Stegostoma tigrinum: one gene and its partner. The protein of the gene in region 2 interacts with the protein of the main gene of each other region in a pairwise test. Links are inferred from orthologs where the notes say so. Each region holds a gene or a part of one and is shown on either strand. Other genes may lie near its edges. The genes, in order: grap2a and garem.

Region 1 (3,922 bases), on a different chromosome or scaffold from region 2:
ATGATCATTTTAAGAAGCAATTAACACAAAGAGCTGAACATGTCGGCAAAATAACTGCATTGGGAAAAATCATGTTTCTCGTGTTCACTTGAATTACAGAAACCCTCAATGGTGGAAAGAGGCCGTTTGGCCCGTCAAAGCCTGTAACAACCCTCCAAATAACATCCCACCCAGACCTACTCCCCCACCCTACCCCCATAACCGTGCAAGTACTGTGGCTGACCCACCTAAGCTGCACAGCCACGGGGAAACTTACCCCGGCCAATCCACCCTAACCTCTGCATCTTTGGAGCCCCAGTGTTCTATCTCATGCACCGTAGCAGCCTTTCTGAAGTATCCACTTCTTCCTGAGTGGCACCAGAGATTTTGAATCATGTTGTGCATCAAACAACCTTCCCACCCAGTCCATCACCTCCACCACCACCTACCCCACCCCCCCCCAACCATCTCTCTCAAAAAGACCCACGTTTATGGGGTGTACAAGCACAACAGTGAGAAATGAGAAATTTTTACCATCAAAACCTCCCAACACTCCACCTCCACAGTGTCCTCTCTAACCCTGGGGTGGGGGCCGCTCCCAGATCCTCAAATCGTACCCCAGTTAATGGAAACAGCAGGGGGTGATGGCAGAGGATGGGGAGACAACATACACAAATAGGCGACGGGTCTTTCAGATTAAAGATCCCCAACTCAAAAACCTGCTCACGTTTTCATTTTGATGCCTTTCCACGAACGTAAGAATAGGTGGCGGGTAGGGAATGACTGGGATTATCCAGGTGACAGAAAACACCAATCCTAGGTTCTCCTCAGGTTTTTCACTGTGAGTGCATGGCCTGGTTTGAGAAGTTTGCTTATTTTCGTTTTGGCCAACTCTGCGACCGCAGGCAGGATGTCAGAGAAGTCAGCTCCACTGACAAAGTCAAAAATTCATCTCCACCTGAAGGATAACACAGTGAGGGAGCTGGAGGAACACGGTGAGGAAGCTGGAGGAACACAGTGAGGAAGCTGGAGGAACACGGTGAGGAAGCTGGAGGAACATGGCGAGGAAGCTGGAGGAACACAGTGAGGGAGCTGGAGGAACACAGTGAGGGAGCTGGAGGAACACGGTGAGGAAGCTGGAGGAACACAGTGAGGAAGCTGGAGGAACACGGTGAGGAAGCTGGAGGAACACGGTGAGGAAGCTGGAGGAACACAGTGAGGGAGCTGGAGGAACACTGTGAGGAAGCTGGAGGAACACGGTGAGGGAGCTGGAGGAACATGGTGAGGGAGCTGGAGGAACACGGTGAGGAAGCTGGAGGAACACGGTGAGGGAGCTGGAGGAACACGGTGAGGGAGCTGGAGGAACACAGTGAGGAAGCTGGAGGAACACGGTGAGGAAGCTGGAGGAACACAGTGAGGGAGCTGGAGGAACACGGTGTGGAAGCTGGAGGAACACAGTGAGGAAGCTTGAGGAACACGGTGTGGAAGCTGGAGGAACACAGTGAGGAAGCTGGAGGAACACGGTGAGGAAGCTGGAGGAACACGGTGAGGAAGCTGGAGGAACACAGTGATGAACCTGAAGAACACGGTGTGGGAGCTGGAGGAACACGGTGAGGAAGCTGGAGGAACACAGTGAGGAAGCTGGAGGAACACGGTGTGGAAGCTGGAGGAACACGGTGAGGTAGCTGGAGGAACACGGTGAGGGAGCTGGAGGAACACAGTGAGGAAGCTGGAGGAACACGGTGAGGGAGCTGGAGGAACACGGTGTGGAAGCTGGAGGAACACGGTGAGGAAGCTGGAGGAACACAGTGAGGAAGCTGGAGGAACACGGTGAGGAAGCTGGAGGAACACGGTGAGGGAGCTGGAGGAACACGGCGAGGAAGCTGGAGGAACACGACTGCTGCCTGGCCTGCTGTGTCCCTCCGGCTCCCCCACGCTGTGCTATCTCTAACGCCAGCATCTGTAGGTCTTACGATCTCTGAGTTACCTTAAGGATGTCGTCTTTCTTGAAGCTCAGCTCATCCTCTCCAGCTCCGTTGAACTCGTACTTGGCCACAGCTTCCATCCCCCCTGACTGGAGTCCCACTGGTCAGAGATGGACTGCAAAACCTTCAAGTGAGAAAACAGCAAGGAATCTCCTTTGGTTGAGCTGTTCTGGGAGTAGTGTGTGTCTGTGTGTACACTGCAGGAGATGATGGTTGGAGCGGGGCGGTGGGTTGGGAGGGAAGTGATAGAGCTGGGGGAGGAGACAGGGTGGGAGGGGGAGGGGGGAGTTGCAGAAGCATGAGTTACCTTTTCTCAACGACGTTCAAACTCTGGTTGGTGGAAGGTCCCGAATTTTCGTTGTTGTAAAAGCTGCCTTAATAAATTGGCAGGTAGAGAGAGATGTTTCTAGCGCAGCGCGACACCCCTCTCGTCTGCTGTTCGTCAGACTGTCGTTCAAATAAAATCGAAGCCAATTTCTTCTTGCGCTCCGGGAAAACCACAACCTAGAATTCTGCAAGGCGGGGTGGGGGGGGGCGGGGTGTTGTGTGTGTGTGGGACTGGGGGGTGTTGTGTGTGTGTGGGACTGGGGGGTGTTGTGTGCGTGTGGGACTGGGGGGTGTTGTGTGTGTGTGGGACGGGGGGGTGTTGTGTGTGTGTGGGACTGGGGGGTGTTGTGTGCGTGTGGGACGGGGGGGTGTTGTGTGCGTGTGGGACTGGGGGGTGTTGTGTGCGTGTGGGACGGGGGGGTGTTGTGTGCGTGTGGGACTGGGGGGTGTTGTGTGCGTGTGGGACGGGGGGGTGTTGTGTGCGTGTGGGACTGGGGGGTGTTGTGTGCGTGTGGGACGGGGGGGTGTTGTGTGTGTGTGGGACGGGGGGGTGTTGTGTGCGTGTGGGACGGGGGGGTGTTGTGTGCGTGTGGGACTGGGGGGTGTTGTGTGTGTGTGGGACGGGGGGGTGTTGTGTGCGTGTGGGACTGGGGGGTGTTGTGTGCGTGTGGGACTGGGGGGTGTTGTGTGTGTGTGGGACGGGGGGGTGTTGTGTGCGTGTGGGACGGGGGGGTGTTGTGTGCGTGTGGGACGGGGGGGTGTTGTGTGCGTGTGGGACTGGGGGGTGTTGTGGGGCTGGGGCGGGTGTTGTGTGTGTGTGGGACTGGGGGGTGTTGTGGGGCTGGGGCGGGTGTTGTGTGTGTGTGGGACTGGGGGGTGTTGTGTGTGTGTGGGACTGGGGGGTGTTGTGTGTGTGGGGCTGGGGCGGGTGTTGTGTGTGTGTGGGACTCGGGGGGGTGCTGTGTGTGGGGCTGGGGGGGTGTTGTGTGTGTGTGGAACTGGGGGGGTGTTGTGTGTGTGGGACTGGGGGGCTGTTGTGTGTGTGTGGGACTGGGGGGCTGTTGTGTGTGTGGGACTGGGGGGCTGTTGTGTGTGTGTGGGACTGGGGGGCTGTTGTGTGTGTGGGACTGGGGGGCTGTTGTGTGTGTGTGGGACTGGGGGGCTGTTGTGTGTGTGGGGCTGGGGGATGTTGTGTGTGTGGGCCGGAGGGGGGGGGACTCGAACAGCTTCTCTCCCTGCCGACACTCTCACACTAAAATGTTTCAAAGCAGGACTCACACAGGACTGGCCTGCACTGGGTCAAAACGGGGACTCTCCCCTTTGTCAACATGTGGAATTCCAGCCCCACTGTCAGAATCTGCTGCTCGGAAATCGGCTTCTTTTTCGATGGCAGGTTTTTTTGGTGCATTCAAAGTCCTGAGCGCAGCTGAGCTGCTTCCTGTGGCGCTGAGCATTGATGTGAGTTTCACATGTAAAGGAGGGCTGCGGGCAAAAATTGCACCGAAGAAAATTCATTTCAATTGCAAACTAATCGGTTCACTCAGACAAATATCACACTTTGGAGGGGAGTGTTTGCAGCAGAACTGGGACTGAAAGCTTTCAATTAAATGCTCCATATCTTTCTGGGTCAG
Region 2 (3,922 bases):
TTAGAGAAATCATCCTCCTTTTGGGTCCTGGCTCAAGCAAAAAAAAACAAGTACTTGAAAACTATTTTTCTTTTGAAAATACACTTTCCTCTATACTTTATCGTATCAATACTCAAGACTCCGTCAAACATCAAACTATATTTAATAATACTACACAATATTGACATCTGTATAATGACAATACTGCAGTCTTGATCATTATTCCAAATCTGCAATCCCCAGATCTTGAGCTCATCACTCCAACAATAATTCTAAATCTCATGTAACTATTACTCCTGTACAGTTACACATTTATCTATTCATTTTTATAGAATTGGAAAAGATGAATGTCCCACAAAATCAAGTCAGTTCATCAACAATACTTTGTATTAGTCTATATAAAACTACAGAGCTGGTGTCAGAAACAACCAAGACAATACTTTTCCAGATCAAAAACTGGACTCGGATGCAAACTATAACATTTAGAGAAACACCCACAAGATTCACAGAAATCACTGATTCGGTTCTAAAAACATTCTGAATGGACTGCCAAAATATAAAAACATCCCCCTATATAAACTATTCAAAATAAGTTTAAATTGATTACAAAACATACGTATACCTAAAATCATTAATTATTCTAGTTTTATGCTGCCCGGCTTATTAATTTTTGGCTTCAAATCAGAGATCAATCTTTTTGCAGATAGTGAGCTGGTTGCTACACTTTTTGAAAATACATTTGTCAAAAAATGTTTTTAAAAATCCATTAGGCCTTAAAAAGGCTGCATAGAAATTCTAGTACAAATGCCCTCATTGTTTTTGCACCAAGAAAAGCTTTCAGCAAGTTGAGCTACTTGAATTACATTTCTCGATTTTTTTTAATAACCTTTGGTTTACAAGAATACTTATACGCTTTTCCAGCTCATCTTGCTGAAACAAGAGTCATCAAAAGCAACTAGTTCACTTCTGGGGTAAATTATCCATAATCCTTTTTGCAATGAAAAGTATTCTAAAAATATGACAAGGAGTTGGGGATTGTGTTTCATATTTAAGGCTGAATTGAGATATCTAGTTAACAAACAAAGTGCTGGAGAAACTCAGCAGACCTGGCAGCATCTGAGAAGAATTTCAAATCCAATAAAACACAAGAGCAGGCATTCAGCCCACTTTGTCCTTCAGAACACGATGCCATTCTAAACTAATCCATTCCACTTACACAGTCACGTATAACTCCAAGCCTGTGAGATTTATTATCTGCATACCTTACTTAGGCCACTAACTAATACAAACCGAATAAGTGAACTTCCATTGCTATTATGCGATTCTAGGAACTTTAACACATTAATACAGTATCGCATATTTAAGATAACTATAATGTCAGAAATAATATTGTCTGTTCAACTCTCTCCACAGATGCTGTTCAACTTAAATTTCTCCAGAACTCTATTTCACATCTATATCATCCACAATACTCTATTGTTTCTACTTGCTAAGAATATCAAATGCAAAACTATCAAAATGTATTTACATCACTGTCATTGTTTCTCAGATTTTAGTCACAAGTTAGGATTGAGTTTTAGTTTTGAGTATTTTTAACCCTTCTTTAGAATTTTAGACTTTTGGCTCAAGTGGAACAGAAAATCATTCACTCTCAGAGTCAAAGATGGAATAAATAAAAATAAATAATAAATTTAACACTAAAACATGTTAATGGCTAATATAATTTTGATGTTCGTTGATTCTAGCACAGTAACAGCACTTGACAAGATAATTGTTTCCTACATAATACACTGATTTTACTCTCAATTAAGAGACATAGAGAAACGCCTTACTACTCCAATCTTCAAATTTCCTGAACTTGGATTGACTCAAGGGATAAAGCCCTATCAACTATCACACTGTTTATTCAAGAGGATTCCTTTATAACCAAATTCACTTTAGAACTGCAGAGTTAGGTGGGACGTGTTATAATATTGTATATCATCCACAAACAATACGGCAGAGAGCAAAAAAAAATCTACAGAATACGGAAACAACGTCTACTTCCGGCACACTGTCTTTCACCTTTGGACTGCAGTACACTGATTTATTAGAAAACTAGTATTTGGTTCAGTTACCAAATATCCTGCGGGTTATATCTTGCTCAGGCCATTCGGCAGACCAACTGCGGCTACAAAATTTACAACTTTTAAAGTATTTGTATATATGACCGTAGTTTGACAACATTCTACAAAACTTTCTCATGACTTCCAGGAACACACAGCTGACCACAAAGCCTACTAAAAGATAAATTATGTCTCTACACAGAATTTTAAAACGAAACACGTAAATACGCTGCCTTCTAAACTAAATCAGCTCAAATCCTCCCTATCGTGTATCAACCTTTACAACTACAGTACGATGTTTCCAGACACAAATTCGAACAAATATAAAAGTTTAGATATCGATCCAACTTTCACGTAAATAGACTTTGAAATTGCTGCTTCTATTTATTATTCTCAATACTGGCCATTTGAAAACTGCGCAACGAGCGCTGAGAAGATCTACACAAATCCCATTCCCGATCTTTTTGCAGATATTTGATATAAGTTTTAATGACTGTGCTTGACGTTTCGAGACCGTGGCCTCAGGGACTGATCCAACCGGCCCCTGACCTCGGCTGGGGACTCAGCCTTCCCCTTTACCCAGACCCCGGCCCGGACGCTGAGCTTCCTCACCGCTCTCCAGCCTGACGAGCTGCGGTAACCGGTAGGTGCTGACCAGCAGGTCCAGCGGCCTCGACACGCCGCTCCACTCAATCTCCTTGGTGCCGCTCAGTGTCTCCATGGCGCCCGGCCCCGGTGCTCGATCCCGGCCGGGGGCGGGGGCGGAGGCGGGTGGCGCTCAGCCGCAGGTTTTCCCGGGGGTTGGGCTGCGGCCGCTTGCACTGCTGTCGAGCTGGGCTTGCCGCCGGGCTCCCGCAGCGCCATTACCAGGAGTCACACGCTTCACTCCGGGAAGCGGCCGACCTGCCACTCGCACCAAACGACAGGACACAGCAGCGACAGCGGCCCATCCCGGCTCCGCTCCCAAGCGGGGCCCCTCCCCCGAGGCTCTCCACCAGCCCCGAACCAGCCCCTCACCACACAAACCGCCCCCTTCGTCTGCAAGTCCCCTTCCTACCGCAACGCTCCAAACTACAGCCCGTCACCCAATACCACCTCCCCATTCCGCCCGGTTCAACCCCACCCCATTCCTTCTCAGCTAAAAGATTTTTAATTGATAATGTTATGTTGAATGCGAGGATTTCTACGTTTGTAATTTGGTAGAGAGGTCATTATTTATCAATTTCTTCTTGTCTTGGTTTTCTGGTCTGTTTTTCCCAAATTCCTTTACGTCGATTTTAATAGTTGTTGCGTCTAATCAAAATCTAGGTTATAAGTAATAGTTTTAATTTGCTGTTTATTCTTGCCGTATGTGCTTTCTGAATAGCCCCAGATGTGCTGTTAAGTGGATGGCTAAATTAATTTCCATAATTGCGGATGTTAGTGATTCTTTTTCAAATGTTCTAATTTCATTCCAGCAGGATTTAAGTCGTCTCTCCACATCAAGGGTGGAGTCAGTGAGTCAGCTTTTATTTGTACGGCAAACAATCAGACTTGTTCTGATTGACCCAGACTTAAGGTGCAATTTGAAAAGAAATAAATAGTTCCACTGTTTAACTAATGATGGTTCAATTCTGCACAGAATTAAGTGAGAGCTCACCTCGCTACTGGTCATTACACTCAACACTGCAACTTTTGGAAATGTGGCTATTTCTTGTTAGCTGTAGATCACTCTATTTATCTATATATAATTATTTTTCCATTTATTGAAATGTTGGGTCAATTTGAAAATGAACGGCCATTTCTCAAATTATTGTGTGGGAAATTTTAGCATATCTATATTTTATATAGCAACATAT

What was found.
Region 1: the proteins of garem (region 2) and grap2a interact in binary tests that used the Homo sapiens proteins (3 or more experiments, as listed by UniProt). The link is inferred for Stegostoma tigrinum from reciprocal best matches to the Homo sapiens genes GAREM1 and GRAP2.

Annotation. Positions count from the first base shown.
Region 1 is NC_081391.1:24,717,435-24,721,356, forward strand, and holds the start of grap2a (GRB2-related adapter protein 2a), read right to left. Parts: upstream 2,434-3,922; 5' UTR 2,272-2,433; intron 2,211-2,271; exon of another isoform or gene 2,089-2,210; 5' UTR 2,045-2,088; coding exon 1,967-2,044; intron 1-1,966. UniProt on the Homo sapiens protein: Interacts with SLP-76 to regulate NF-AT activation. Binds to tyrosine-phosphorylated shc.
Region 2 is NC_081358.1:74,803,990-74,807,911, reverse strand, and holds the start of garem (GRB2-associated and regulator of MAPK protein 1), read right to left. Parts: upstream 3,101-3,922; 5' UTR 2,806-3,100; coding exon 2,697-2,805; intron 1-2,696.